Linked DNA regions of Caenorhabditis elegans. The protein of the gene in region 3 interacts with the protein of the main gene of each other region in a pairwise test. Each region holds a gene or a part of one and is shown on either strand. Other genes may lie near its edges.

Region 1 (8,380 bases), 1.5 Mb from region 3:
AACAAGATCAAACTGTTTTATTTTTTCTGACTTATAGCTTTTTTTCATTTTGAATCGAAAATTGTAAAAACCAGCACCTTATTGAAGAATCATTACCTATATATAAAAAAATAGTGTCCGTTTGTTAACAAGTGACGTCATAGCTTACAAAGGCAAGGTGTTTTCGGCTGTTGGAGGGATATTAGTTTGGGGTTAGTAGGGGGATATGGGCGGGGTACTGTAGTAGTACTGTAGGAGTACTGTAGGAGTACGGTAGGATTACTGTAGTTTGGGAAAAATTGTGTTTTTGTCTTTTGAAGAGATATAGGTTTGAGGTTAGTAGTGGGATATGGTCGGGGTACTGTAGTAGTACTGTAGGAGTACTGTAGGAGTACTGTAGGAGTACGGTAGGATTACTGTAGTTTATGAAAAATTGTGTTTTTGTCTTTTGAAGAGATATAGGTTTGCGGTTAGTAGTGGAATATGGTCGGGGTACTGTAATAGTACTGTAGGAGTACTGTAGGAGTACGGTAGGAGTACGGTAGGATTACGGTAGTTTATGAAAAATTGACTTTCCGTCTTTGGAAGGGAAATTGGAAACTTCGGGAAAATTCTGAAATGTTCCAGAACCTTCTGGGAATTTCTGGAAAATTCTAGAATGTTCCAGAACCTTCTGGAAAATTCTGAAAAGCTTTAGAACCTTCTGGAAAATTCTAGAAAATTCTGGAATGTTCCAGAACCTTCTGGAAAATTCGAAAAAATTCTGGATTGTTCTAGAACCTTCTGGAAAATTAAAAAAATGTTGCTGCGAGATCTTCGTGGCGAGAGCCATCGTGGCGAGACCCATCGTGGCGAGACCCACCGTGGTGAGACCCATCGTGGAAAGACCCATCGTGGTGAGACCCATCGTGGTGAGACCCATCGTGGTGAGACCCATCGTGGTGAGACCCGTCGTGGTGAGACCCACCGTGGTGAGACCCATCGTGGAAAGACCCATCGTGGTGAGACCCATCGTGGCGAGACCCATCGTGGTGAGACCCATCTTGGCGAGACCCATCGTGGCGAGACCCATCGTGGTGAGACCCATCGTGGTGAGACCCATCGTGGTGAGACCCATCGTGGTGAGACCCATCGTGGTGAGACCCATCGTGGTGAGACCCATCGTGGTGAGACCCATCGTGGTGAGACCCATCGTGGTGAGACCCATCGTGGTGAGACCCATCGTGGTGAGACCCATCGTGGTGAGACCCATCGTGGCGAGACCCATCGTGGCGAGACCCACCGTGGTGAGACCCATCGTGGAAAGACCCATCGTGGTGAGACCCATCGTGGTGAGACCCATCGTGCCGAGACCCACCGTGGTGAGACCCATCGTGGAAAGACCCATCGTGGTGAGACCCATCGTAGCGAGACCCATCGTGGCGAGACCCATCGTGGCGAGACCCATCGTGGTGAGACCCATCGTGGTGAGACCCATCGTGGTGAGACCCATCGTGGTGAGACCCATCGTGGTGAGACCCGTCGTGGTGAGACCCACCATGGTAAGACCCAAAATTTTGGCGGGAAATTTAAACTTTCTGAGAAAAATATTTTGGCGGGAAATTTAAATTTTCTGTGAAAAATATTTTGGCGGGAAATTTAAATTTTCTGAGAAAAATATTTTGGAGGGAAATTTAAATTTTCAGTGAAAAAATTTTTGGCGGGAAATTCAAATTTTCAGTGAAAAAATTTTGGCGGGAAATTCAAATTTTCAGTGAAAAAATTTTGGCGGGAAATTCAAATTTTCAGTGAAAAATTTTTGGCGGGAAATTCAAATTTTCTGTGAGAAAAATTTTGGCGGGAAATTCAAATTTTCAGTGAAAAAATTTTGGCGGGAAATTCAAATTTTCAGTGAAAAAAATTTTTGGCGGGAAATTCAAATTTTCAGTGAAAAAATTTAAGCGGGAAATTCAAATTTTCAGTGAAAAAATTTTAGCGGGAAATTCAAATTTTCAGTGAAAAATTTTTGGCGGGAAATTCAAATTTTCTGAGAAAAAATTTTTGGCGGGAAATTCAAATTTTCTGAGAAACTTTTTGTTAGCTTAAGTACCACCTGGAACTGGCGAGACCCATCGTGGAGAGACCCTTAAAAATATGGGCGGGAACTTTAAAATTTATGAGAAAAGAAATTTTGGCGGGAATTCAAATTTTCTGAGAACAATTTTGGCGGGAATTCAAATTTGCTGGGAAAAAAAATTTTGCGGGAAACTCAGATTTTCTGAGAAAAAAGATTTTGGAGGGAAATTCAAATTTTCTGAGGAAAATGCTTGGCGGGAAATCCAAATTTTTGTTCTGGAATCAATTTTTTTGTTTCAGCACCTTCTGGAAGTTTCAAGAAAATTCTAGACTGTTCTAGAATCATCTGGAAAATTCAAAAAAGTTCTGAAATGCTCTACAACCTCCTATAACTGTAGGAGTTTTTATTTGTTTCGTTACATCTATATTCAAAGAACTTAGTAGTTAATTATTCAGACTTCTCCAGTTAAGGAAAGTTATTAACTTATTAAAAAAACTGTAACTCTGTGGAATTTTTTCGAAAGCCTGATAATGATAATGTGTTAGTAGAAAAATCAGAACATTCTAACTGTCTCTTTGAATTTTCTGAATCGTATACCATGGAAGGAGAAAATGCGATTTAATCGATGAAGTTTCAACTTTTTTTAATGAGACATTTTTGAATGATTAAAAGGACAGCTATTTGTTATACATTTTAAACTCCGCCAGTCGTTGGCCGCGCCGGAGGCGCGGTCATCGGCTGGTTTACAATAATTTTCTTATTTATTTTACACTTCTCATTCTTTTGCTTAATTTTTTCTGGTTACCTGCTGGTTGAATTGGCTTCAAACTCTCATCAGCGATCTTTGCTATCTCCTCATCAGTAAGGGTCTGATCAGGAAGAACAACACCGTCCAAATTGTCTGCGTCAACTACACTCTCTTCTGGAGAATCAGCAATTTCTGATTCGACATTGATGGCATTTGGATCTACATCTCCTACGTCGGAATCTTGAACTTCGGATTCTGTTTCAATTTCTGGAATAAAAATTTTTTGGAGTACAGAGAAACTAGATCTTACCATCAATCTCCTTAGCCTTTATCATAACATTCTCATAAATTGCTTTTCCAAAATCTCTTGCTAACTCGACGTTGTCTTCGATGTTTTCATCCTGCAAAAAAGTTATGGAACCTATTGGACAGTTGTAAACAACTAACCTCATCTAAAATTACGTTCCCACTTTCGTTCACTTCTTCCACATTGTCATTATTCTTCTCTGGCTCACCAACTTCTTCCACAGCCGAATCAGTATCGATACGATCTCGATTCTTTGGTAAATCAGAAGATTGTTCACTATTCCCATCATCTTGATTTCCAGTTTGAACTTCTTTTTCAACTTCATCTGCTGATTTATTGCTTTCATCAACTTCGTCTCTTGAAATTGCCAATTCTATCTTGCTACTTGGTATAATGACCTCTTAAATAAAAATTTTTTTTAATGAGTTTTACAACTACGATATTTTTTAGAAGTCTAATTTCTTGTATATCTACTTTACCAGTTTATATCTCTTTTTTTTGGTGTTACAAATAAAATTTATCAAATCTTGATTATTGGTATCAACATTTTTAAAATCCAAATTGTTTTTGATCGCCTAAAGCAGCCGATATAACATATTCAATGTTTAAATTCTGTTTTCCCGACTGATCAATATATGTCATAAATCATTAACATGACACTCTTTTATGTACCAAGTTGGTATTTATTATCTCCAGACGGCCTTCTATTTTCCCATTTCAGGCCAGCACATCGTCTCCCTTGGACGCTCAATAGAGCATTCTTCGCCCATTTACCACCCTTAAATACACCCAAATGTATTCTTGGAAGAACATGCTCATTTGTATATCAATCGTCTTTTAGAGAATTACCAGTTTCTCGATTTGACTAATTTTCTTTATAGTTTTGCATTTTTCAGCCTACATATCTTTGTTTTTGCTGTTCCAATATTTCCACGATTGTTTTTTTTAAACAGTGTTTTCTATTCTCTTACTGTACCCTCTTGCACTATTTTTTCAATAGCATTATACTGAACTATAAAAGTATTTCATTCCAGACCCCCCGACAAAAACTATGACTGAAAACGTCGAATACATCCGAGTGTTATTGAAATCTTCACAAGCCGAAGTTCAAATGCTCCGCGAGCAGAATGAGTTCAGAGATGACCTGCTGAAAATGTTCAAAGTGAAGCTTGAAGTCAATGCTCTGAACAATTTACCAGTTCGACGTAATCTTTCTGTTGAAATTTCAAACCTTGAAACCAAGAAATTGAAAACAGAAATCGCATTTTTAAAAGAAGAACTTGGACGGGAGGGAAAGAAACTGACAATCGCAAATACAGTTCACGAGCAGTTGAAAAAGGATCTGGAAGCAGAAAAGAGAAATTCGATGTTTCTTTCGGAATTACTGACGTTCTATCAAAATGGTCACCAACCACAATTACCAGCAGAGGATCAATTTGTCGATTTTCTTCAAACAGAGACGAGAAGTGTCAAGGAAGCTTTAAAAGAGAAAGAAGAAGAAGTGAAAAGACTATTGGTGGACATGGAAGGAAAAACTTTTCAGAATCTAACTGAAAAAGGCCGTATGGAAGAAGAAATGAACGATGCAAAAAGAGAAGCTCAGATTCTTCGCAATGAAATGAAATCTCTTCAGAAGAACATGACTGCCAAAGAAAATGAGTTGCTCGGATATCTGAGAGATGCATCGGAAACTCATACAGAGATGCAAAAAGATTACAAAATTCAAATTTTGGAGCTGCAGCGAAGAAATAGAATTTTGGAGCGACACTTGGACAATATTCAATAAAAGAATACAATCCATTAGAAACCCTCTTGGAGTATTAAGAAACCGTAAGAACAATTTGCAATATCTATTCAATGTACGACTTTTAAAATGTTTTGACTTACACTTCTCTGATGATTTTCTTTGTCTACGATTAATAATAAACTTCTATAAACTCTAATATACAAGAAATACTGTTGCAAAACAGTTAAGACGGATATGAGCTAAGTTATCAAACTAAATATAACAGTTGAACTATTTCCGAAGTCAGGGATCACTTTCTAAATTATTTGCAAACAAACTTTAAAAGTTCTAACTAACTCACCAATATCTGTTCTCTTGAGCTCTTCATCGCCTCCATCGACATTTGTTTCTCCATCATCCACTGCATCATCAGTCTTCAAGTCTTCATCAGACTCACCAGAATCCGTATAATCAAGTTTTGGCAATCCAGGAACATCGGGAACTGATTCTAAAAAATATTTCAGTATCGTACATACTTCAGAGGTTATATTTTATAGAAATTACCATTTGGTTCCTTTTCAACGTCATCATATTCTTCCCCGGCAGTTTCTTGTCCTTCTGGTAAAAACTCAGCTTTTGGTGATAAATCTTGATTATTTGGGTAAGGCTTGTAATCTTGTTGCTCTCCATTTTGTGGTGCATTCGGAATGTTGTAAGTATCATCTGGAATTTTATTACAATTTTCTGAACCTATGATGTTTTAAGTTAATGATTTAAAACTCAATGTCTTCTGTAAGCTATACCTTCTGGTGTTTTCTTTGATTCTTTTTCATCAATATCGATTTCAATTGTGATAGGTTGCATGAGATATTCGAATTCTGTGAATATTAAAATTAAAAGTAAATTAACAGAGGTACCTGAAAATTCTACGCAAAATTTGGCAAGATCGCCTATTCATCCTCGGAGGCTCAGAAATGCCCTGCCTACTTTAAAGGCGACCTACGTCTACGCCTTGCTCCTATACTCGTGTCAGGTGAACTTTCAATAACTCAAAAAAAAAATATGCGTAAAATTTCAGACAACAAACACACAAAAGCTAGAAGGAATACATGTATTACGTTTCTGCCTAGCATGGAATTCTTTCATTTATCTTTGTTTCCGTTTACAAAACATACCGTATATTCTCTATTAGTGCTGCATATCCAGTAGTACTGCAGTCTCTAATAGTGCTGCATTCAAAAAATGTCCAAAAAATAGTGCTGCAGTCTCTATTAGTGCTGCACCCCATTTTCTATTGGAAGAGTCACTTGACAGTTTCGATATTTTTGGGTATTTTTTTTGTATATTTTTGATGATTTTTTGATAATTTACAAAAGTAATTGAATTATTGGGTCTTTTTGTTACAAAAGTTCGCAATTTTTATGAATTTCTGCTTAAAAAATGAGCTTTTGTGACTAAAAACTAGTGATCTATAATTGAAAATAGCCGTTCGAAAATTAATGCTGCAGTCTCCAGTAGTACTGCAGTCTCTAATAGTGCTGCATTAAAAGAGTGCCTGGAAATTAGTGCTGCATGCAGCACTAATAGAGAATATACGGTACCTTTTAAAACACGTCCATTTTCATCGACGGGAACTGAAAGTCCTCCATCTTTATCAAGATGCCCAATTCTCGGATCATTTAAGTCTTCAACTTCTTCCTGCAAATTATGAAATTTCTCAATTTTCGAAATATACTTATATCTACCTCATCGGTCGGAAGTGCTGGAATAACTTTTCCTTTTTCAGTGTATCTTTCAAATGGTGTTCCATCTGCAAGCCTTGTCTTCTCTGCTCGGTAGTTGGCTCCTCCTGGGGCGCGACTTGGGTGCGACTGGCGCGCGGAAAGAGGTGAAATGCGCCTGGCGCGAGGATAGGGCGTGACTGGAGCGCGGAAGAGGCGAGCTGGGATTGTGAAAAGAACACTTTGAAACTGCCAAAGTGTCTACATAAGATTTATTAATCCATTTCTTGCAAACATAAAGTTGCTTTAAGACATATTTTCGAACAAAAGTGGATTGTATTCGTTCTATACGTTAATTGTAAAAGTTTTGCAGCCATGCTAGTTACAGAAAAACCAAAATTTCAATTGAAATTCTGATATGAGATCGGAAGAAAACAGTAGTCTTGATTTTACAACGAAATTGTATTAAAATCTATCAAAAACATCGTACTGATGATCTCATGATGTTACGATGTAAAATACTTTTGTTGGTAGGTTGTTGCCAACTTTGTTAAGGGTGGAGTAACGACAGTGAGGAAAGTGTTAAAAAATACTCCAATGGTGCCAAAATGTCCGAATATCATAACACAAAACTCCAATTATTTTTGAAAATGTTTTATTTACTGTGAAAAAAGTGGAAATTACTCAGTTTTTGCACTCATAACTTTGGAAGTCGACAAAAATAATGTGTTTCCTACATTTTTGCACTTTAATTTTGCTTTAATTATTTTTATTGTAGCATTGTAGTGGTCAGAACATGCAAAATTCCTTTGGATTTCCTCAAAAGCTTATATTTTTCAAAAGTTTGGCAATTTGCCAAAACTTTGACCGGAAATTTGAAAAATCTAAAAAATTTTAGAATGTTTTATTATGATGTTCTGCCGTTTAGGGTTATTATAAGTGTATTTACAGTTAGACAAAATTCCGACTGGCTTATACTCCGCTTTTAAAGTGTTTTCAATGAGTTGGCAGGTTTTTGCCAGAAAGTTGCCTTAAAATGCCAAGAATACGTTCCGATAGAAAGATATAAAAGATATGTATAGTTTGCGTAAACATCTTCAAAATAATTTTCTGGATCACATGTCTCGTTGTCATATTTTATACGTTTAGTATTGTGGCATGCCATGGAACCATATTACTGAAAGCTGAAAGAGACTAGATTGGCAATTATTATATGTCATATGCTTGCATCATACATATATAAGATATAAGTGAAGATATATCAACCTGTTTTGACAGCGAGACTGTCTGAAAGTAATAAGTTCGCGAAGTCCGAGTTCTGTGCGTCCGAGTTCTTCCTTCCGAGTTCTGTGCGCGTCCCGTCCGCGCCCCGTCCGCACTCCTGCCGAACCCCTTCCGCGCCCCGTACGCGCAACACGAACGACAATCCGTTTATCGATTTATTTTCAACAAAATTATCGATTTCTCCACAAAATTATTGACTTTTCGGGAAAATTATTGATTTTTCGGGAAAATTATCAAATTTTCCACAAAATAATCACCATTTTTGTGAAAAATAATCGATTTTTCCCCACTTTTACCGAAAATTATTTATTTTTGCAAAGCAAAATCGAATTACAGCCAATTTTTTTGGCGTTATTTCAAGTTTCCGTCGAAAATTAAGTTCGAAAATGGCGAAAACTGAAAATTCCACGAAAAAACTAAATTTAAACTTCCCTCCGCTTTTCTCCGGTGCAAACGCGCTCCACCGCACTTTCTTTTTTATTTTCATTTTCGTCGCATTTCCGTTAATTTTTGCTCATTTTCGCCCGTTTTTCCTCAAATTTTCCACATTTTTCAGCAA
Region 2 (12,236 bases), on a different chromosome or scaffold from region 3:
GTGAAACACCCGAAAATCCAAGAGGAAAGTTGAAAATTAAAAATTTCAACTTCCCAATTTTTTTCAAAAATGTTTGCGCGGGGAATCGTGCGCGTTGTACGCAGACATCACGACGTCATATTGCGGACCCGTTTGCAATGAAGCACCAGCCAGCTGACATTGCGGTGAACGCCTTTTGTTCGATGATGTCACCGTTTTCTCTCGTTTTTTTTTGTTTATTTTGGTATCTTAAAAATTACATTAACAGCAACAGAAATAGCTATTTTAATGACGTATCTGTGTACCTTTCTGCTTTAATATTATGATTTTCGAGAAATATGAGCATTTTAAAGTTTAATTAGATTCTGAAGTCCTGATGTTTTGAAGTTCCTCATTCTAGAATGCATTCTGGTAGTTCTAAATTAACGGAAAGCATGAGTTTTAGATTTTGAGCGGTTTTTTTCTTTTAATTCCCTGCTTTCCCAATTTTTTTCAAATATCCGCAAAAATATTCCACATTTCTATTTACTATCACATGATCCTACTACTAATTACTTTTAAATCGAATCATCTAGACTTCCTCAACTTCATCTGACTCATCTTCAAATGTAAAGTTCCTCGGCGTCTTTCGCAATGTTCTGAATGTTGTCGATTTCCTCGCGTAACCTCTGCTATCTGTTAACGGGTGTCTTCTTATCAGTTTCACTTTTTCTTATTTTTTTAGTTGTCAATCTCTTGCTAGTAGTTCCCTGATTTTTGAAGAAAAAAGCTCGTCCCAGAAATCTTGCAGAGCTGGAAAATCATTAAAATCCATATTCCTTCTTTGGAAGCGGTCATTTTCAAAACTTGTATATCGATTATATCTTCAAATTTTAATTTTTTAAAATCATTTTACCCAGTTGTAAACAAGTTTTTCATGAACAAATAAAAAACAGCATGAAAAGCATAATCTTGGTAGACATAAGGGTTAGAATTTTGCCTAAAATTATAAAAATGGACCGAATAAATTCAATAATGTAAAAAAAATGAACAAACATTTCTCAAGTTTTCAGTTTTCCATAAAAAATTATAAATTTATGTAAAATTATCGATTTTTAGACCAATTTTGAAGATTTTCTTTCGGGTTATCAAGTTTTCTTTACGAGAAAATGTCATAAATTTTTTTGCAAAATTGAAAAATCATTGGTTTTTTTTCTTGAAATTTAGAATAATTTTATAAATTTTTAAACACTTTTTTAAAATTCGACCATTATGCTCCATTTTCTAGCATTTTAAGCAACCCCGTCTTTAAAAAGCTGCATTTAAATTATATTTAGCTTTAAAACTCTTTTTATGCTAGGAAAGTGAAATTTCGTTAATCATTATCCAACAAATGCTCTCTGTCGGGATAAAATTTAACTTTTCCAATTGTTTTCCAGATTTTTCCAAGTAGCAACCCTTGAGTGTGCCCAATCATTATGCCTATCCACACACACAAACATTAAGTAGTGGGTAGGCTAGAGTCTTTCATGCACAAGCAAATATACACCGATTCGTCTTTTTTCCCTCTATCTGCCACATAGATAAAAGAAAGAATAACCTTCTCCTCCCCCACAACACCACCACCACTAACGGCGTCTTCTTCGTCTCAGTTTTCTTTGCTTTACGTAATCTACGTCTTCTATTTTTTCGGGGTGCTCTCTTCGGTTGGAACTATGTGTGAGAGTAGTGTGTTTCGTGTGTCTGTGTGAGTTTTTCCTCATCTTTCTCTCTCTTTTCGCGCGGAAAGAGGGCGCCCGAGGTCGGAGAAAAAAAATGAAAGGCAGAGAGGATGGAGGACACAGAGGAACGAAACGAAAATAACTGAATCGATACATCTGTGGGGTTGGCGGTGTTGAAGAGAAGAAGACGAAGAAGAAGATGAGGGGGTGGAGCTCTCCGTGCACAACGGCTTCTCCTCCCCCATCTTTCTCTCCCGTGCTTCTCCTTTTACTAGAGTCCGGCGTTGTGTTGTGTGTGTGTGTCCCCGCCTTTTTCCGGAATACGAAAGTAGGTCTAGTTAATGGTTAACTACCTCTCTTGCTCCGAAGCAGGCTTTTTCTTTAATTGCTTCTTGCAACTTTTCTGAAGCTCTACCTTTCTACTGGGAACTTGTTTTCTTTGAAATTTAGAGTTTTTAAAACTTCCTTCAGTTCTCATTCTCATGCTTTATAACCATAAAAGTGTACATCAGAATAAATCCTAGATCATAAGATCATTCACATTAGCATTTCTTTTTGGAATGCTTTTTCCGAGAAAACTGCACTTTTGAGGATTTTATCTTCGAACTGAAAATTCGAGTTGTACTTTTGAAAAAGTTTGTAGCGATCTACCTGATGTCAGTTTTATTTTAGATTTCCTGCACAGTTTCTTTCATGAATTTATAATGTTCAACCTTTAGTTCTCTCAGTTTTAAGGTTTAATGCAAAGTTTTACATACAGCCTGAGGGTCTGTGGATTTTTTTGTTTTAATTGATAGAAAATACCAGATTATACCTATGAAAAATAGTTTTTAAATTTCAAAATTTGATGAAAAATCCGAAAAAAGTGCCAAATTTTGCTTATAATCGAAATTTTTCTAGAAAACCGACCAAAATATACAATAAAGATAAATATTTTGATTAAAAAAAACTGTATTCCAACTGCTGAAACAAGGGTGGAAATTATTTTTACACTTTTTAATTTATTATTACAAAATCATTAGAATTTATAATTTTTCAACAGTTTTATCTGATCTTTAAGTGGTATTTTCTTTCATTTAAAATAAAAAATCCACAGGCGAAACTCCAAGAATTCAAGAAGCTCATTTTATCGAAACTTTCAAATCTTGCTCACCGTGATTCCCAAGTGTTTTAAATCTAAAGGAAAATAAGTCTGGTTTTTGAATATTTATTTTCAGTTGTTTTAATTATCAATTAATTAACATGTTATTCCGAATCTAAAACTCAAAATTTTCAGAAAAATGTCGTTGTCGGGGTTACGTAAGCAATTCAACAAGGCGAATCAATACCTTTCGGAGACGATGGGCGCCGCAGAGCCAACAAAACTTGACGATGTGTTCAATGAAATGGAGAAAAATGTGGATACAACGTATAATTTAATTACGGATCTCGTCGCCGGAACAAATGAATATCTTCAACCAAATCCAGCTACTCGAGCAAAAATGGCCACACAAGTTGCCCTGTCAAAAGTTCGTGGAACTACAAAAACGTCACCGTATCCACAAACAGAAGGAATGTTGGCTGACGTCATGCAGAAATATGGACAACAATTGGGTGATAACAGCGATTTGGGAAAGGTTTGCCATCCCTTTTGGAATTTTAATTTCTGAAAAAAAACCCATTTTTTAGCAACATTTGTCAATATTTGTTCTGTGAGCAATTTCTGAAAATGTGACCAAAATACAGCAAAAATAAAATTACTATTTATTTTGTTTATATTAATAATTTAATTGAAACATTAGGTTGATATTAGAAAACCACTACTTCGGTATTTTTTAGATTAAAATTTTTTGCACGGCTTCAAAATCTTCTTAATCATAATTTTAAATTACAATTTTTTTCAATTCCAGAGCCTAAACGATGCTGCAGAAACGTATCGACAAATGGCTGATATCAAGTATCAAATGGAGGATAATGTTAAACAAAACTTTCTCGATCCATTAACACATTTGCAGAATAATGAGCTGAAAGATGTGAATGTAAGCTTTTTTGCGTAAAAAAGGGTTTATTATTAATTCATTATTCAGCACCACCGCACAAAACTGAAAGGACGTCGACTTGACTACGACTGCAAAAAGCGTCAGCAACGACGTGATGATGAGATGATTCAGGCGGAGGAGAAGCTGGAAGAATCAAAGCGACTCGCTGAAATGTCAATGTTCAATGTGCTTAGTAATGATGTGAGTTTTACGATTTTTTTTTGGAAGTTTTTACTATTTTCCCCTATTAGACTTGCTATTTGACATCGGTTACCCTTAGTTTTATTTTTAAGAAGGATTATTCTCAAACTTACGAATATAACAAAAGAAAAACGGGAAAAATCCGTTAAGATTTCGAATTTTTATGTCAGAAAAATCAACGAAAAACCTTCAAAATTTAACTAGCGAAATCATAGGCCACGAGGATTGTTCGAATTTTGATCCTGTTCTATACTATGTTTTTAATCAGTATTTTATACAATTCCTTTCAATATAAGCTGTCAAAGTTTAATTTTTTTTTAATCTGCTGAAATTTTTTTCCACTTCCCCTTTTAGATATAATCACAAAAAAATTCTTTTCAGGTCGAGCAAATATCTCAACTACGAGCCCTCATTGAAGCCCAACTCGATTTCCACCGACAAACAGCCCAATGTCTCGAAAATCTACAGCAACAACTTGGCCATCGAATCAAAGATGCAGCTGCCAGGCCTCGTGAAGAGCATGTTCCATTATCAGTTCTTGCAAATGAGAGCAGAACTCCAAGATCCAGGTTGGTATAAGCATGAAGAGTGAGAAAATGCATGTTTGTTGTGAGATTTTGAACGCTCAAAAAGACCTAGTTTTTAAAAAACAGCTAATTTCTTGAGATGCACTTTTGAGATTCAGCTGAAATCTCCAATTTCGCCAACATTTTATTGAAATGGAGCTGCCCCAAAAAGCTGAATAAACTACCAAAAAAAATGTTGAATATTGGAGGATTAATTGAAATTTCGGGCCGCTGTGGCACGGAAAAATTGGCAAAATTGAAGTTTTTTAAAGCTAAATTTAGATTTTTGTTTTCTTCTCAAAACTTTGAAACGCCATGAAAATTGTACGAGAAGTTAGAATAGAATTAGTTATTTTTAAGAAATTTTGAATTTTGAGTACAGAGATTATTTCATAAATCTACCTGAAAATTAGTTTTTTCAAAAGATACGAAAAAATATATAAAGCCGGAACTAGGCGTTTTCCATTTTTGTTTTCGATTTAAAAAGGTCCCACGCATCATAAAAAGAGAAAACCCCCTGTGCTCTTAAGAAACGGAAAAAGCACTGAAGCATCATTCACAAGTAATAAAAAGGAGGAAAACATATGAAGCACAGACATAGACATGCAGAGTCTATGATTGATTACATCGCATTATGTCTTTTTACGGCCGGAGGAATACTTTTTTGGAAGGAATATGAATGTAAAAAGATCGTTTAATGACTGATTGACACGAAAATATTGAAAAATTGAAATGTTTTCGGTGTTTTTTAAGCTAGACTAGTTTAAGTTTTTTTGAAAGTTGAGAAATTTCAAAAAAAATTATTAAAAGAAACAACGTAAATTTTGATTTTTGATTATCTTTGAAAAAACCGAAAAATTGAAAATTATTCTACGACACAACCAAAAAAACATTCTAAATTTAATTTTAAAAAAATAAGAATTAAATTTCGTTACAGTACCCCCCGCTACAGTACTCCCTGATTCATATTGTGATTGATTTTTTATTTTTTGCATGCTAAAAGCCTCTTCCAAAACATCTCTTCAGTTTCAGATCGCCTGCTCCATCGGATATGAGTCACAATTCTACGGCAGCCGCAGCCGTACGTTTTTTTGTTTCAGAAAAAATTGAAAAAAGTGCGACTTTTCAACAAAAAAAACACGAATTTTGGAGATTCAGTTTTTCGGATTTCAATTACTGAAATTTTTTGGAAAATGGTATAATTTTAAAAAAACACTTGTAAAAAGACCGGAAAATGTTTAAAAAATGTTTTTGAAACATTTATTGAAAAATCAAACTTTTCAGATATTTTTCGAGACGAGAAAACTGAAAATTCTTGATTTTTCAGAAAGCCGAAATATTGATCAATTTTCTGGATAAAATTAACCAAATATTTCAATTTTTTAGTTTTTTCTCATAAAAAACATATAATTTTTCTTTAAAAAAACAGAAGTGTCTAAACTTTTAAAGAAATTTTTCGCAAAATCAATTTCTATTCGAACCGACAAAACTAAAAATTTAAAAACGAAAATTCCAGATTTTTCGGTTTTCCGGAAATCCTAAAAATCGGAAAAATATTGGGAAAATTGACAAAAAATTTCAAACTTTTAAAAATTTGGTTGATGAAAAAAAAAAGTCAATTTTCTTCTTAAAACGGGTAAATTTTCTCGAAAAAAAACTACAAATTAAAAAAAACCAATTTTCTAAAGTCGAATTTTTTGTTTGTTGAAAATAAGTTACTTTTATAAGAGAATTGTGTATTTTCCCATCAGCATAAAAAATTTGAAGATTGAATTTTTTAAATCAATTTTCTAAATCGAAACTATTCGTTTTTCAATTTTTATTTTAAAAAATCGAAAAAGCGATACCCTTGATTAGAATATTTTGTTTTTGAATAAAAACCTAGTAATTCAATTTTCAATCCAATTTCTAATATTATGTCCAGTTTAAGATGCCACCACAAAATGGAGGAGGAATAACACAAGCACCACCATCATATCAAGGACCTCCACCAGGTGGACTTCCACCTCCACTCTCCCAGCAGCAGAAGCCACAATGCAGAGCTCTATTCGATTTTGATGCTCAAAGTGAAGGAGAACTGGATTTCAAAGAAGGAACACTGATTGAGTTGGTATCACAAATTGATGAGAATTGGTACGAAGGACGTGTGAATGGAAAAACTGGATTATTCCCTGTTACCTATGTACAGGTTCTAGTGCCTCTTAAATAAAAAAAAATGTATTTCTCCCTCCAAAACCCAGTCAATTCTTTCCATTTTTTGCTGTTTTATTGCCAATTTCTCGTTTTCTCCCCAACTCCAAAGCCATGCTCCTCATCTTTGTCTCTTGAATTTTATTTCACAAAAATATTTTATTTCCCTTTCCAAATCTCACTTTTTCTCTAGGAACCCCTGAAAAGTACTCATTTAGAAGAGAATGGGCTATGGTCTCTATGAGGCTAAAATAGTTAATTCTCCTGATCCATTGTGCCGAAATCTTTGTATTTATTAAAACACTACTTGCTTTATATACATCCACTACTTTCCCCCAGTCTGCCACACCCGATGCGTTTTCCAATAGCAATACCCTGACCCACATTACCATGTATTCTATGTACTCTCTACACTACCAAAAATGTGCATTTATCAAATCTCCCTTAAAATAGCAGCATGTTATTAGTTTTTTTAGCTTTATTTAGTAACTTATTTTCAACATCAAAAAATTCATTGCAAAATTACTTATTTTCGTAATTACTTATTTTCGAGTATATGAATTTGATTTTAAACTATTTTTTTTTTGAACTCGGAGATGGAAAAAAGTCAAATTTCTTGTCTTATCAATTTTAAAATTGTTTAAAAAAAGAAGTGGATGAACAAGAAAATCAATAAAAAACTGAAATGAAAACGAAATTTCGAAATATCCGGAATATTATATTGTCCACGAGGAGTACTGTAAACAGACACCCAGTTATGTTATTAGTGACGTCATATACTTGCACCATCTGCTCTCATACCTGTGCACCATATATCTCATCGATTTTTTTTTGAACATGAAACGAATGCAACTATCATTTCGTCCATTTTCTTCACTATGGAATTCAAATCGAATTAAAAAAGGTAGAAGTTGTTCCAATCAGAAGAAGGTAAATTAAATTAATTTTTATTTGTTAGATCAAAAACTATAAGTTTCAGAAATGTAACTCTTTCAATCTACTCCAACTACCATACCTAGCATTTCGAATTGTTATTCATCAATTAAGTATTTTTTCAGTGTAAGTTATCCCGTGGTGTCAGACTGTCCCATTATGGTTTGATCTACAAAAAAGGCGGGATTTTTTTGCCCAAAAAATGTGACGTCAGCATTTTTTTAACCATGCGAACCAGCATGGGACAGCCTGACACCACGTGAGTTATTCCAACATTACATATCGTACACCCTTCAATGTTAGTTATAACATAAAATCACATAAAAATTACGGACAAATCGAGCGAGAGTGAGATCAACTACATTAAAAACGTTTTAATTTTAATTTTGGCTGAATTTTTTTTTAGAAAATCGCAGTTTTAATAGTTGTATTTTCAATTCTTTCTCGACGCTCTAGAGTATTTGAACAAAATCCCAATCTACAGTGTTACAAAAGCCAGTCTGAGACAAATACTGCCCAGTTACGGAAATTCGTGATTCTTGACCGGTCTCGGCACGAACGAAATTTGTAGCCACTGTACCCAACAAGAGTTTCGCAATTTGCTTCGCTCTTTTTCTTAAAGGTTTGCCCAAACAATATGGTTGAGCCCCCGTAAAATGCCACGCGATACTGGTAAAATCTCCAAATTATTGCTGGTACGGTAGCTGCTAATTTTTGGTCGTTTCGAGACGCGGTGACGTAGCGCAACTGGATAATAGAGCAAAAAGCAATATTTTTCACAATTAATTAAACAATTAAGAATACGATCAGTTCGATCAGTTCAGTTCTTTTAATTCCTAGTTAACCTTTTTTCTCAAGTTTTTACTTTGGAAATACATTTATATTTGTTGATGTTTCAGATTACAATTATCTCAAATTTCAAGAAGAACTTTGAAGAAAATACAACAAGTGAATCGGAAAGTTTATAAATTATTGGTCTACAACCATGAATTCACGCCTTATGGTGGCCAAGAACATCTTAAGACTTATTCAGTTCGGCAACTCGTTGTTATCGAGAACATAAGTGATTATCAAGAATTTTATGATATGATGTGGTCACAAACTACTGTATCCTATAGATTCTTGACAACTCCTCCGGTGACATATTGGATCCGAAGCGTAATAAAAGAGTACGTTTCATCTTGAATTATGTCTGAAACTGATTCAGTTTCAAGTTGTTGAACCTCGTTTCCACCGGGAACGGAGGACTCAAAGATGGTTCCCAAAGACTTAACACTTCTCCAAATATGGAATTTACTCTTGAGAATACATTACATACCGTATATCCTCTATTAGTATGGCGCCTCTATTAGTTTTGCACCCCTTCATTTGTTCCCTATTTTTAGGTATTCAAAATTTGAATTATAAACTCGTTCTACAAATCAGGAAAATTCTTACAGACTATGGTTTAACAAGTAAAAATTGGCAAAATATGAGTAGAACTCGGACAATTTTTGCGTATTAGTCGTAAAATTCGCCCACTTTGGTTTATAAGTTATTGAAATTGATGATATTATGCTATAACTTGATGGAAAACATGAGAAAAAACCTGTTCGAAAATTAGTTTTGCACCCTCCATTAGTTTTGCATCAAATTAGGTGTCAGAAAGTTAGTTTTGCATGCCTTACTAATAGAGAAAATACGGTATATGTTATAACCAGGGCTTCCATGTAGGCGTCAAAACGCGTGCCTGCCTGATCTTATTGTTAAGGCGATCTTCGCCTGCCTCTCCCGTCAGTCGCGCCTTATGCTAAAACATCAAAATAATATAAATGATAAACTTAGAAGTTTGTAAATTCATGTTAAAATTCAGATAAGAGACGGATGGCCCGTGTGGGGCGAGCATGCCTCAGGCAGGCGTTGGGCCTGAAACCAAGTTTGCATACCATGGAAGCCCTGGATATAACAAACCCATTTCAGTTATCCCAACATGAAGCTTAACGGAATATCATATATGTCGTATGAAAACAAAAAGGAGCTCGAACACTATTTGAATGTATTATATAACACATTTTCGATTGATCATCTCGACCTTATGACGGATCGCGAGAAGATTTTTGGAGATTACAGAAAAGTTTTTAAACATCCATTGTTTCGTAAATGTCATTATGTAGAGTTTCACGAGCCTTCCAAGTTTTCAACAAAAGATTTGGAAAATCTGCAGAAAATGTTTGATTTGCATAAATTTTATGCGCGATGTGATCAGAAGAAACATTTCAATTTTCAAAAGGTAACAGTTCTATCCTATGTCATTTGGAAACTTCTGTTTAAACTAGAATTGTTATGTTTAAACTAGAACAAAAGTGGATTTTTTTAAAAATGTTTGAAAATTTTTTTGTGACGAGCTAGTCAAAACATAAGCTTTTGAATTTTATGCTTTTTTTTTTGAAGTCTAAAACTTCTTTTTCGTGTAGAAATCTTCGATCGCGTTGACCCTGGTGTTTTATACTTGCGTCATAATTCGCGATATTTTTTATTTGGGTAATATCATGTCTAACAAAGTTCAGATGCTGAAGATTCCGCGGATTAGTGTCCACGAAGCTTACAATATCAAAATAGAGGACTTAATGAACAACAACTGCAAAGAAATAATATTATGGAATAACGATTTACAAATATTTGAAATAACAAAATTCATTTGTCATTGGTTATCTGGAAAATTGCCAAGCCTTGAAAGACTTCGACTACATATGTTTCACGATTGGGAAATTTTTGAGGATATCCTGATTGGCATTGATAACAAAAAGAGAGATGAAAATCAACCGAAAACATTAAAGTAAACATTAAAAGTTTTCAACTTTCAGACTATTTTAAATATTATTTCAGATACGGAGTTTATTCCCTGGATTGTTCAAATGGACGAGATATTATTCGGAAAGATGGGCAAATTGCTACTCTTTTTACAATTGGATATGCTCTCGAATTTGTTGTAAGGGATTTAACATTATAATATGCGTTTATGATATCCTCTAGTCTGTACATTCTGAAAAAAGACCTGAATGCATGTAATATGTATCCTATTAAAGTTTTGATTAAAGATTTAAAACTGATTTTTTTTATTTTTAAATTTTCACAAAATCATTACTAAATGCGTTTTTCGTTTTTCAGTGATTTTTCAAACATTTCAAATGAGTAGAACTCTGAAACCGAAAATTTCGGCAAGAACAGTTCAACTAACAAACTGCTGCTCTCACTTTTTTCTGCACGAGAAAATATTTTTCGAAGTTTCCCAACAAACCTGCCAAGCCTGCTGCGCTGCTGCTGGGAGCCTGCCAATGCGCCCGACATCTAGCGAGCCCAATTTCGACAGTTTTCCTTTAAACACTTATAATTCAAGTACCTACGTTTTCATGCACCGATGTTCTAAAAGTGTAATACCCTTTTCAAAACTTTTTTTAAAAGTGATGTATCCTTAAAAACAAATGTAGCAGTTACATTCAACTGAAAATCAAGATCAGAAAAAAAATGTTCCGTCATTTTTATGAAATACGTTCAATCTTGGCCAGTACAACGCCAGTTTGAACGTTATTTCTGAGTCGTTGGTCACATGAAGACGAAGTGATTATATGCATACAATGAGCGACAATTGCCGTTCGGCAATCGAATTCTCGGCAATTGGCGATATTCGGCAATTCCGGCAACCTCTCTTCTGCTAAACAGTGAAAAATGAATACAAAATGAGTAAAATGAACTATATTTTGTTCACTTGTTAAGAAAAAGTGTTAAGAAAAGTGACAGACATCCGGGACCCAAAGGGTGCGGGGCGCGGGAAGAGACGATTTACGAAATGCTGACAACAAGAAAAACTCTGTAAATCGACACAAATAGTCTCTTCCCGCGCCCCGCCCCTTTGGTTCCTAGATGTCTGTCACCCTCTAACTATCTACACTCTCTGTACCGGTAATAAACCTCAGTGAAAGAAAAATTTCGCCTTTGATAATTATATACTACGCTTTTTTTCGCCACTATATTTACCTCGCAGCCGGCGGGACATCTCGCCACGCTCACAGCGAGTTAAACACATCGGAACTCGTGAGATGTCGGCGGCTGATATTGGTTGGTGTCCCGATTTCTGCCAAGTCCCCATGAATTTCCTAAAAAAGCGGTGCCTAGATTTTGGAATTTCTGTGTACACAAGGTTTACACGAGGCCACGATGTTTATTTATTTTGAGTGTGTAATTATTAAAATGATAATTAGGTACTTGGGTATTTCATGCCCTCATTCCAAAAGTTTTTTTTTAAGTTAAATAAAGTGTATTCTATTTTTGCGTTTTTAGGCTTAGGCAATAACATTTTCTGAGTCTAAAGAGGGAAAATGGACATCACGTTTAATTTAAATGAATAAATGAATGAACATTAATTTAATTTAATTTAAAAATGAGGGCATATAATACACAAGTACCGATAATAATTATTAATTGTTCTTCGTTTTGCTGTTTATTTCCATGTCATTTTTAAACTTTTACAAAATAAATTGTCAACTTAACATTAACATGGATGTAAAAATGAAAAAGCCTACAAAATCTCAATTCCTTTAGCTGAAAAGCAGTATGTGCTTATTCGATGAGCCATACCACTTTGTACAACCAAAGAGATTGAGATATGGAGG
Region 3 (12,295 bases):
TTAACCATAAAATTTTTTTAAATCAAATTTTGTTTCTGGCCATGACCATGAAACATAATTTTCTTCTAAAAATAAAAAAAACTGACCAAAATTTTAAGCTCTTTTCGAAAAATGGTTTTTTTTTTCGAAATATTGGAAAAACGGAAAACCTAAAACATTTTTTAATTTGATAATTCTGCAAATCGAAAAACGAAAAATTTTCGTGTTTCGATTTTAGTGAAAAATCGACATAGTTAGTAATGACGTGATGCTCAATAAGTTCTTTTAAAATCTTTAAAATTTTCCTAAAAAATTACTTTTTGAATCATAAAAATGGTTAAAATTATTTAAGGTAATGAATCTGTATTCTTCGCTTCGAAATCAAAGTGCTCAATAATTCAATTTCAACCATCTCCCTGGTGCCCTTTTCTCGCCGTCATATTCACCATTTTTCTTTTTTCCTCGTAATTTGTAAATCAATTGTTTTTTTTGTTATTGCGCTCAATGTTTTCATATTTCCAATTTTTCGCTTAAATGTTCTTAGAATTGGATCAAGTTGTTGTTAATCTTATTCCCCTTACCCGTATTCTGATGGTTTTTTGTTTGTTCGCTGTTCAACTTTTTCCTTCACAATTCCTAAGTGCCCTTTTTGAAAATTCTATTGAAATTTGCAGACTTGACGTTATTCGGGTGTTTTTCTCTTTCTATACTCAACAAATTATGTTCCTTCCTTTTAACATCATCATCAACATCATCATCAATGCTCCCAAAAACGTTTAATGTCACCCATTTTATTCACTTCTAGATTCTTTTCCCGTTTTGTCATACACGACAAAATTGGGTTTTCATTTGACTTGCAGTAGCTCTTTCATTTTTTTTTCAATTTGACACTGTTTAATGGTACTGAATGAAAAACTGGTATATAAAAAAGTTTTTATATTTAAAAAATTTCATAAATTTACACAACTTCAGATGATAATAATTTCATTCAGACAAAAACTGTAAAAATTCCAAAATTAACCCGTTTTCTACAATTTCATGATATCTATGGAAGCATTCGTACCAAAACAACGGAATCTCCTTTAATGAAGCATGCTCTCTGGAAACGATGTTCTATAAGACGATTTGTTCCAACTTTCATAGGCCAATTTCCACCTTCTTTCCACCGAAGAAACTCTGGCAGTAGTAGTTGCATTTCTTTCCGATTTGTGAATTCTTTTTGTGCTTTTCTGAATTTATATTAATTTAGTAAACGAAGAAGAAAAAATCATTAAAACCTTCCATGTAGAACAGTTTCCGTAACATCTTTCATCATTAAATTGAAATGTTCATCAAAAGTGGTTGGTATTCCCTCGAAAATCCGATCAATTCGAATTGCCGAACGAACTCTTACTTCAATTCTCTTTTGATTTATAACTGCATTTGCAATCATCGACATTGGTCCTTCAATTGTAATCATTTTATCGTGAAATGTTATTCCTTTTTTTTCAATTACACTTCGTCCATCAGTCATCATTGCTTCCAATCGTATTTGACGATCTCGAGCTTGTTGTCTGAAAAAATATTAAAACTTTAAAATTAATTTTCCAATAGTTCGAATTGTTTGACTGTTTAAATAATCATAGGCTTTTTGTTTTGGAATTTTTGAGTTTTGCTCGCGAAAATTGCTAGCATTCAGAGTATAAATACACACAATACATAGATAGTGCAAAATTAAGAACATTTTTAAAGTACTTTTGGTCGACTTCCAAAATTATGATACTTGAAAATTGAGTAAATAATAGATACTTTTAAAAATGTTAAAGTGTTACTATTACATAGACGTCCAAAATGAGAATTTTCGTCTTATTTTACGCTCACGGGTCTCGCCACGCAGGCATCGAGCTACTGTAACTTCATGTGTTCGTGGTGAGACCATGCGTGTAAGATATGGCGAAAATTCGCATTTGTGGACGTCTATAAAATAGTAAGACTTGAAAAACATTTCAAAATTCAATATTCGGTCATGTTGGACTATTTTAAGCCGGCAACTTCGCGACTACCATAAAATATTTTACATCTAAATTTCAAAATTTCAATTAATTGAAAGTTATATTTTTTAAAAATAACGAACTTTTTACTTATAGTCTTTTCTTTTTCCTCTCTTACAGTTCTTTCATCAAAATCACAAATTTCTTCTGCAAGTTCCGGATGCAAATCCACTAGATTTTTCTCAAATTCATCAGTTTTGAAATCTTCACTATTTCCTTCGACCCCTTCGATAAGTTCTGGATTTTTTTCGGCCACGGTTTTTAAAAACTTCTCAATATCAAAATCCTCTGCCATTTTGATTTTAAAACTACCTTCCTGAAACAATGCCAATAATGTTAAATGATGTATTATTGGTTTGTGTCTTCTTAAAATAAAAATTAGCCTGTCAACTCGTCTCGTTTAATGAAAGTGTATAAAGTTCCACCAAATAATTTCTTTATTCGCCGTACCACTTTCAAAATACAAGCAAATCCAATCGCCTAAAAGAAGAAAAGCAAATTCTACTGAATACGATTAAAAACGCCCGTCATCCTGTTCTCAAACGAGGAGAAGTGAAGATTCTGGGTGATACGTGTATGAAAGAAAATGGTAACGACAAAAACTTGAATAAACTAAACTTTCAAAAGAAAAAGAAATACAGAAACCACGTTGATTCTTAGATTAGTTGAGGGTACAACTTAAATAAAGAAATCACATGAAAACTGCCACAAAAAGAGGGAGAAAGAAAATAAAAATTTGAACGGGACGCAAAGGAGGAAAGGAATGACCAGGACAGCAGAAAAAATAAAAGAAGCTATAAATAGAACCGTCCCGTTTCTAATGTGTGAATCCCAAAAAAAAGGAGAAAAAAGAAAGAGAAGCTTCATCACGATTCAGATGGTCAGCTTTGCAGTCTGTTCACTGCACGACTGTTCGCGAGAGCAACTTTAAGTTCAAGTCCGTTGGTGTTTTAGGGGGGAAAGGAAACGAAATAATCAAAGCATTTTCTATGGGAGAGGAGCAACAAACACGAATAAGAATCTGAATTCGAGGCGGAGGCGACTCCAACAAAATGAGCTAATGATACATGTCGTAAGAGAGGACAAAATGATTAAAGAAGAGAGCCAATAACATATGAAGAATATTATTATGAAGAATAATAGAATGTGTTGGAGTTGATGATATTAAAAAAGAATCATCTACAACAACCGGGAACGGGAATAATGGGGATACACATCAGAAATTTTTCTTTGTCTTTCGAATTCGAAAATGAAGGGAGAAAACGGTAGGAATAGAAGAAGATAACTAGAATGAGGGTGTGTGGGTGCTTTTGTGTGTGTGTGTGCAATTGTGCCAAAATTATCGGTTCATCACAGAAGAAAAACCGGGTGGTGGTGGGACGGCTGATGATCGCAGACTGTTCTCATGCGACCAACGAGACATCGAATTATCATCCATAAACCGAACATTTACATTTGGAAGAAGAGCTTTGAATGCATCTTGTGCAGATTGTGGCTGCTGTGATTGATGATCCTGCATCATACTTTGATGGCCTCCCATTCCGAACAATCCCATACTTGACTGTTGCTGTTGCTGTTGTTGTTGTGATTGTTGTGTCATGTGTGGAGGTGCTTGTTGTGTCGTGGAAGATCTGTTCGTAGATGGACCTCCGAGTCCTGGAGGTGGTGCCATTCCAAATGGTACTCGAGGCATCAACATGTCATTGTACATGTATGAGTTGATTCCAGCATACATCTGCTGTTGTTGATGTTGTTGTGCTTGTTGCTGCGCTTGATGTTGTTGCTGTTGGCGATTGAACAAGTCTTGTAGAAGACTGGACGACTGTGACGACTGAGACTGATGTTGTTGTTGCTGTGAAGACTGTTGTTGCTGCTGCATCTGGAACAATTTTGATCATGGATAAAGTTTACTAACATGGAAATTATTTCAGTTTTAGACTTCCGGATGAAACCTAGTAAATTTTTTAAAAAAGTTATTCAAAGTAGGTTTCTACAAAAAATAAGCAGCAGAAGACCGTGTTGAACTAGGAAAAAGCTGATATGAAATTGTTCAGTGCATTGTTTCACTACTTTAGAGGCCCGTGAAATTGCTCCAAGTCTACATTTTTACAAATTTTGATTATTTCAAAGGCATTCTGGAAATTTTTTTTCAAACCATAGGTACCTTTATCATCGAAAAGCTGCAGAAATACACGTCTGGAGCCATTTCACAGACATCTAAGGTAGTTAAATAATGAACTGAATAATTTCAGATCGACTTTTTTCTAGTTCAAAATAAATACTCTTCTATCCCGAGCTACTTTGATGGTCCGTTTTCAAATTCCGAAGGTTTAAGTAATTTGGAAGTCTAATTATTGACCTCGAATACTTCCTTTCTGGTGCAAATCAATATTTTGTCAAGAAACAAATGAACTCGCGAAAAAAACAATTTTTCTAAATTGAAACTTACACTTCCGAATGGATGTGAAAATCCAGGCGTCGAGTCGAACTGTCTCTGCTGTTGTGATTGCTGTTGTTGCTGTGACATAAGTCTACTATACATATAGTCCTGTTGCCTGTTCATATCTGCTGCAAACTGTTGTTGTTGATGCTGTTGCTGTGCATGTAACTGATGAAGGAACGAATGATGTTGATCTTGATTCTGTTGTAATGGATGCTGTTGATGTGATGATTGAAGATGTTGTGGATGCTGCTGGGTTGACTGTCGCTGCTCGGGTAATTGACCAAACAATCTAGAACTGCGAATGATTAGTGAATATTCTTATCCTATACTACTTACTGTTTTAACACATCTAAAGTATGATTTGATGCTGAATTGTGTGGTGGAATCTGTTCTTGTTCTTCTTGTAACAACGCTGACAATCCCTTTGATGATTCGGTGAACGGATCGAATCCAAGATCATCGTCTGAATTGAACCTAGCGAGACCGGGTGGAGGACTAGCCTCTCTTCTGAACGACGGTGTGCTAGATGTGTGTGTTCCGAATAACGATTGTGAATTGAATCCTGAATCCATTTTGAACGTTGGGAATAGTGACGAAGGTTCGACGATCGTTGATTGTGCAGAAGGTGATGACAATCCGAGCAATGCTTCCCATTGCATAAGAGGAGCTGGTGCTTCTTGATGCTTTGCTGGTGCCGGAATCCCAAGATAATCATTTTCTGAGAATGATGTCCGGGCCAGCCGGTCGTCATTTACATCTAATTTTGACATAAGATCACTAACATCGTTTCTGAAAAGTTCAATTTTTTGTTGATAAATAAATGAAATTTCTGAAAATTGATACCTATGGATGTCCTCTTCAAACTCGTTTTCATTTCCTTCAGGATCTGTAGGAGGTGTATTGCTGGGCGCCACTGAAATTTCGTCGCGTTCTGACCACTGTCGCTCTCTGGCTGTCTGATTACTCCGTCTACTGTTAACTGTCTCATCTGCTGGATTTGAAGGTGCCGGGTCGTCGATAGACTGAAAATAAAAACTTTGAAGCTAAGCTTTAAAAAAAAAAATGCTATTACATTGCTTGTGTTCGTAGAATCTGCATCATCATCATCAGGATCATCCGCACACATGTGTATCGCTGAGCCTGCAGAATATTCAAATTATTTATTTTAAGTTAAAAGATTTTAGACTAAACCTGTTCGCTCAACGTCATCAACTGTGTCAGAATCATCTTCAAGATATCGCCGTGGTGAATTTGACCTGTAAATCGATTTTTTAAAAAATAATTATCAATTTATTGCATACGTTGGCGCCAGTATTTTATCCAATTGTGATGCAAGTGTCGATTGTGGCGGCGGAGGTCGGCTATTCATCGATTCAATTAATCGTTTCTCGTATTCTGTGTGCTTTCCAAGATGCATATCATCTTTTGTGAAACTTATTTCAGCTTCAGCGTTTTCATGCAAATACATACATTCCTGCAACAAGACGGATTATTGATCATGTGGAGGTGGGCGTAGTTACGAACACCGACCGGTTTGAAACACTTCCGACTATTCAAAAATGAAGAACAATACTTGGTTGTTCCAAGTGATGCTTTCACTAACCTACCATCCAACATTGAGTTATGTACGCCCTGAAAATAAAATGTTAACAATGGGAATTCAAGTTTATGCAGAAATTGTGTTTTTATGCAACTCAAAAGGTGGTTTTAATATAATTTTTTAAAAGAAACTCACTTGAATTGCTCTTAGCGCGTCATCAACTCTTTTATACGTTACGTAAGCCGTATGACTAGGTGGAAGATGAGGTGCAGGTAATGACGGTGTCGCACTCGTTACGATCTTCTGAATTTTACCGTACCGACCGAAATACTCATTTTTCTTCAAAATCTCAGGATCTGCTACACGAGGTGATAATCCCACGACGTAGACAAGATTCTTTTGGAGTACACGGTAATTACAAAGATATTGGCGTGCATCCGATAATTTCAGTTTTTCCGCTTGTTTTTTCAATCGTTGTTCGTCCTTGTGTTTTCGCACATCGTCGGTTGTCATTGGCTGAAACATATATATTGTGGAAATCTTGAGAAATAACCTTAAGAATTGAACAAACCTTAAAATTGACAGGGTCTTCAGGATATGGCTGCCGGCAAGCAGGACATAATCCATTTTCATCGGTTCGTATACGATGCCAGCAAAATCGGCAAATCTGAAAAAAGAGTTTCGTTTTAAGTCAGAGAAGAATTTTTTGATGACAATTTATATACGCAAGCAACTCATCTTCCTAACGCGGATATTTCTGATTTTCCTATTTTTAATTTTAGTTGTTAGATTTTCAAACAAAAAATTACCTGGTACTCGCATTTGCATGGATAAAAGTTGATGTCATCCAGTTCAAGGGTCTCCATGCACAAAGGGCACTGAAATTATGAAATTGGATTTTTTCAGAAATATTTCAAAATCTGTTTCCGAAATCAAACTCACTTCCTTATCGCAACTTTCATCGCTGCAGGTAGACATTTTGGCGATAGTCGTGGAAAACAAGTGAGGATTGAGAGTAGGAACACTGAAAAATGAAAAGACTTGAAGGCAGTGAGAAGAGAAAAACGAGAAGTGCAGCATGACCAATTGGTCGATCAATAAATCGAGTGAGAGAACGAGAGAAGACATGCGAAAGGCACGCAGACGGATAGAGTAAAATAAATTGTAAAATGAGAGTATTAACGCGGAAATTGTTAGATGACTACTGAAATACAAAAAGGTTATCTGGAGAGTTCATTTTAGAGAAAGTGCTGCACGAGGAAATTTCTAAATTCGCCGCGGAAACGAGATTTTGCTTCATTAGGCGTACGGGAACCGAACCGCATATCGCGATTTGATTACAACGATAAGATAGTGTTCCTTGAAACAGTTTCGTTGAATCGATTCGTCTTCTGTCACATTTCTTCGCTTTTTATTGAATTGTTTTGGATTCATTCATTTTCTTCGCGCAATACTTCAAAAAAAAACAGTGAGTCAGCAAAATCAATAAATTGCGGTATAACTGGGCGCAGCGTGTTCATCGTGATATTTAGAATACATTCTGCTAGATTGTAAAAAATTGCGCGAGAGAAAAATGTTTATAAACTGAAAAATGGGCATATTTCTCGAACATTCTCTATAAAACAATTGTAATTTTATTGAAACTTGAGAATGAGTATCAGACACTGTCGAAAGATGTTAAAAAACATAAACTAAATTGAAATACGTTTGTCTCGCTTTCAATTACTCGCTGGAAATTGTTAGAGAACAAAATCACGTGACCCGTATTTTCAGACTGTTTTATCTCGACTCTGTCTCACACATTCAACATTATTTTTATATAATAGAAAACTGGACGAGACTGGCTTTCCTTTGACATATCAATTTTCAAGATTTATTGATTTTAGGTTAATGAACGGAGCCTGCAAAGAATTATTGATGGGCTGCGCGATGGCGGAAGAGGAGCGAGAGGGGGGCTGCAGTGAAAGAATTGTGAGAGAGAGAAGGCAGACCGCTGCGAGACCCATTCCCCGTTATAATGCGTGCGTCTTTCGCTCGGCGTTTCTTTGCTACGGTACCACTCAGAACAGTGTTCGTCTGTTTTATCGGAAATTTGTCCTAAATCTCAATTGCATCCATTTTTCCAACATCGTCATATTTTCTTCATTTTTTTCAGGTAAAAAACAAAATAATTATGGAGGTAGATACGGCAAGTAGCCGCCACTCAACTGTGTTAAAGCGAAAAGCGACCGATTCGATCAATGAAATTCTTAATTACGGACAATCGTCGACTAGCCCACAGAAACGGTCAGTGGAAAAACGTCTTCGTATTAATTCGAATTTTATTTTTTCAGATGTAAGAAAGCTGCTTCTCTTCACAAGTACAGAGATATGGAAACATATCACAAAATTATCAAAACGTACAAGGTGGGGTATAATCTTATTCGTATTTTACTCTTCTTTACTTTCGGGTTGAAAATACAATAAGATTTTCAACAATTCTTTATATTCATTCACAAAATGACAATGTCCCAAAATTATCGATTTATTTGTTTCTACCGGCCAGGTTCCGTTCGAAAAATTACTTTGTTTCTCGAAACCAAGCTACTTTATATTAAGTTCTCACAGAATCCTTATCCTCAATAATTCTTTTCGTCTTCTTTTCGTCATATCGATTTTTTCAGGCACCCACGTGGTACGGATGCGCGGTCTCTCCACGTGATCTCGCAGACTATGGATGGGCTTGTGTGAAGAAAGACTGTGTTAAATGCATTGAATGTGAGCAATACCTCAGCACAGTTCTCCCGAATATTTGTAAAGTCTCATTCAACGTCTACAACTCATCTCTTCAGTGAGTTTTTCAAATTTAATTATTAATTCATAGAATAGTTCCTCTTCTGTGAAAGTTAGGATTTCGGGAGAATTAAAATTATTTTTTACAGAGATATTCACGAAAAAATGACGACAGCTCACCGAACAACCTGCAAGCTTCGATGTGGTGCTCCACCATTCCGAATCGTTGAGCCAACAGCCAAAGAAGTAATGGATGGAATTCAACGGAGATTGTCTGATTCTAAAAAAATTATCGATGAAGACTTGAAGGCTGATATCCCATCAGATGTGAATCTTCCGAAAATTGAAGGAGTTCCAGAACAACTTATTTATGTAGCAGCTCTTGGATGGCATGTTTCGATGCCAAAACGAGGATCTCTTCTTTTTGGATGTGACAATTGTGCCAGAGAGTTAGCCATTAGGTTCGTGAGCTAAATTAAAAATTATAATCGATACTCGTTCTAGTTTTTTCCTATTTTTCCAATTTTCCATTTCCAGGTGCGGAAACAAATTTGATCCGATTCACAATCATGAACGTTGGTGTCCTCGGATTGAAATGGATGATCACGGGGAACCAAGTTGGCAATCTGATCTCAACACTGTCCTCAACACAAAAAATCATGTGACTAACCGAGTAAGTGCTCGCTAATATAATTACTTGAAAACTTTCATTTTTGCAATCCAAAAATTAAACAAATCAGCACTATTTGGCTTCTGTAGCGCTATAGCAGACATTATGACTGAGATCGTTCCGAGACCCATTTGAAAAATAGCGTGTATCTTAAAACGACATTCCCAAATATCGCGAAATTACGATATGATAAAAAATTTTTGAAATTGAAAAAAATATAGAAAAAAAAACTTGATTAGTTTGGAAATAAAATTTATTTTTATTGAAAAACTTGAAAACAATATCAAAAACTACTTGAAACATGCCATTTATGAAAGTAATGGTGTATAAATTTTGTCGGCAAATGATTTCTACATTTATTTTAATCTTAAAAAGTTTTGTAAATTGGCCGAGGAGATTCGCCGCCAACACCTATACTAAACTTGAAAAATTAAAAATTTTATTTTTTTCGTAATTTCAGTACACTGGGTCATCGATCTTCAAAGAAGCATACGCGGCTCGACGTCTTCTCGACAGTTCACTTTCTACAATCATCACACCAAATTATATTTGATGCTTTTTTCCAATTTTCTTTCGTGTTTTGTCCCGCGACATCTTCATCCAGTGCCTCTTATGAATCGTCTAGTTCTTTCTTATTTTTTGCCTTATTTTCAGTTGGCTCCAACCCATCCAACCAGTCATCTCACTCTTTTTGCACTTTCCAGGGCCCCAAATCTTTTTCGATCACATTTTTTTCTTTTGCCTCACATTCGGAACACTTTGATTTTAATATAATAGTTTAAAGAATGATATTCTTGACAAATTCGCATCCATCAATATTAGTAGAACATGCTCATCATGAAATACCCCTTTTCCTTATTGGAAAATCGACCATAGACGGGTCCATATCGTCTTTTCATTCTATTTCCCCCTCCTCATTTGTGCCCTACTTGTACTATTCATTCGTGAAAATAGACTTTGTTTTTTTAAAACGAAAATATTACAAGTCCTCGCTCGTTCCTCTACCACTAGGCTTCAATCATTTCACGGATCTTTTCTGACTTTTATAAACTAGATTTCGTCTTTTTTTTAAATGAACAATATATCTCGAATTTAATATTTTCATTATACGTGCAATATTTAATTTGATCTGATTTTACACGAAATGAAAACTATAAACAAACAAGTAAGAAAATGATGAAAAGTGCGATAAAACATTGTAAGAAAATTGAGCAAAAACTGAAAGAATGAGAGAATCGTAATACCCATGAATGTTTGTTAGGTAGAAGTGCAGATAGGTAAGTTAAGATTTTGAATATAAAATATCATTTCGATGATCCAAACGCTTTTGCGAGAATTCCGTTCCGCTTTACAGTTCCAGAAAGTTTTCGTTCACTTGCCACGTTTGACGAAGGTCCGGCTGAAAAAAGAAACATATTAAAACAGAATAAGTAATGTAGGAGTTAAGAAATGTAGATATTAAAATTTATTTTTATTCATTTTCGTATTATCCGGATGCGAAATTTTCAGATTTTCGCGCTAAAAATACGGTCCCGGTCTCGAAACGAAAACTGTCTGCTAAAAAAGGAGGGTATGCTCTTTTAGCGAGTACTGTGAGTTCAAACTTGTGTGGCTGCGGAATTTTCATAGATTTTTCATAGGGTTCCGATAAAAATAAACTTATTAAAAAACCAGTTTTTAAAACACATAAATTTTAACAAATCTAGAAAAAAACGTTTGAAGAACCGATGAAACTCCCGCAGAAAGTTTAAAACTGCAGTAGTTTTTAAAGTCAGACACAATTTGCATTCATATTCCACCTACAAAGACTGAATGATTTTGTTTTCTAAATGGAAATTTCCCAATACCGAAAACCAAAAACAATACTCTTGAGCGCAAAACTACAAGTGATTGCATAGTTACTACTGTCTTTCAGCTCTTTCAAGGTAACTGCCATCTTGAAAAAAAAAACGAGAAAACACAAGTCTATAACTACAAAAACATGCCAATTCTAGTGCTAACGACTCCCGTCGTAGATGTGTGCATTCCACCGTTCATCGTGCTTCTACGGATTGGAGCTCCTGGTGGATTGTTATTTGCTTCTCTCGGAAGACTTGAACTCCGTTTGGCCATGGCAGTTGAATATGCGGGGGGACTGGCGGTAACAACTGAAGAATGACATAACTACGAAAAGACTAACACAATAATATAAAGCCTTGCCAAATTAAATAAGAATGTGCAGAAAGTTTTGAAAAATCAAAGAAAAAAACGTACCATTCATAGATTGTATGGCAGCCTCCAGCTGTTCGAGATCAGGCGACAGTGGCATCACAGCAGATGTATTTGTTATAACTGAGGTAGTTGGCATTGTAGTAGTTGCTGCGGACTGAGGGCGTCGGACTGCTGTGGAGGAAACACCCATAACTGGTGTCTTTTTCACTGGCGAACTCATTGTGCGAGGTCTGAAAGTTTTCATGGTACTGTAATTTGTTTGAGTTTGGCAGATTGCAGTGACATAGCAATATCAAAATTGATTGTAGTCAGAAATCTTACACATTAGAACTAGATGCCGGCAAACTTCCAATACTCATTCGAGGGACCGGTGTTGTTACAGCTGGAGGTGGAGCTCTTGGAAGTCGACTCTTTTCAGTTGGAAATGTTGCTGAATTTGGAAGACGAGCTACAGGAGGAGGAGCTGGCTGTTGTCTATTAACTGCTGGTTTTGCACCTCGATTCGCCATTATTAGGGATCCTGTGTCGGGTGGAAGTTGAGGTAGCTGCAATAACATAAAATATGAAATGCGGAAATTCCATAACTTGTTTTGAGAGCTAAATTTTGCTAATCATGAGTGCAATCAACTATGTGAAGGTTGTCTTATTAT

What was found.
Region 1: the proteins of ntl-4 (region 3) and F56D5.5 interact in a two-hybrid assay, tested with the Caenorhabditis elegans proteins (one large-scale study listed by BioGRID).
Region 2: the proteins of ntl-4 (region 3) and unc-57 interact in a two-hybrid assay, tested with the Caenorhabditis elegans proteins (one large-scale study listed by BioGRID).

Annotation. Positions count from the first base shown.
Region 1 is NC_003282.8:9,403,866-9,412,245, reverse strand, and holds F56D5.5 (Coiled-coil domain-containing protein 69), read left to right. Parts: upstream 1-4,141; coding exon 4,142-4,876; downstream 4,877-8,380. Other genes in the region: F56D5.6 (FK506-binding protein 5-like), read right to left, coding at 2,841-3,050, 3,094-3,184, 3,231-3,490, 5,178-5,324, 5,381-5,539, 5,620-5,694, 6,418-6,514, 6,562-6,626.
Region 2 is NC_003279.8:4,672,180-4,684,415, forward strand, and holds unc-57 (Endophilin-A homolog), read left to right. Parts: upstream 1-2,955; 5' UTR 2,956-2,959; coding exon 2,960-3,295; intron 3,296-3,568; coding exon 3,569-3,697; intron 3,698-3,745; coding exon 3,746-3,898; intron 3,899-4,279; coding exon 4,280-4,467; intron 4,468-5,490; coding exon 5,491-5,545; intron 5,546-6,388; coding exon 6,389-6,673; 3' UTR 6,674-7,228; downstream 7,229-12,236. Other genes in the region: T04D1.2 (F-box domain-containing protein), read left to right, coding at 7,492-7,584, 7,634-7,713, 8,487-8,756, 9,547-9,856, 10,134-10,402, 10,453-10,576. UniProt on the Caenorhabditis elegans protein: Involved in synaptic vesicle (SV) recycling in neurons probably by regulating clathrin-mediated endocytosis. By controlling SV endocytosis, regulates the rate of excitatory postsynaptic currents (EPSCs) at neuromuscular junctions and thus locomotion.
Region 3 is NC_003282.8:7,905,321-7,917,615, reverse strand, and holds ntl-4 (CCR4-NOT transcription complex subunit 4), read right to left. Parts: upstream 7,042-12,295; 5' UTR 6,971-7,041; coding exon 6,935-6,970; intron 6,871-6,934; coding exon 6,802-6,870; intron 6,660-6,801; coding exon 6,564-6,659; intron 6,509-6,563; coding exon 6,188-6,508; exon of another isoform or gene 6,085-6,187; coding exon 5,977-6,084; intron 5,927-5,976; coding exon 5,754-5,926; intron 5,709-5,753; coding exon 5,644-5,708; intron 5,593-5,643; coding exon 5,525-5,592; intron 5,475-5,524; coding exon 5,296-5,474; intron 5,242-5,295; coding exon 4,789-5,241; intron 4,748-4,788; coding exon 4,459-4,747; intron 3,889-4,458; coding exon 3,349-3,888; 3' UTR 2,427-3,348; downstream 1-2,426. Other genes in the region: xpo-3 (Exportin-T), read left to right, coding at 332-376; C49H3.4 (Sm domain-containing protein), read right to left, coding at 1,025-1,208, 1,257-1,532, 2,093-2,304; npp-27 (C3HC-type domain-containing protein), read left to right, coding at 8,166-8,278, 8,326-8,398, 8,656-8,822, 8,914-9,225, 9,302-9,437, 9,895-9,987; cbpl-1 (Cortactin-binding protein-2 N-terminal domain-containing protein), read right to left, coding at 10,739-10,833, 11,420-11,581, 11,688-11,875, 11,967-12,190.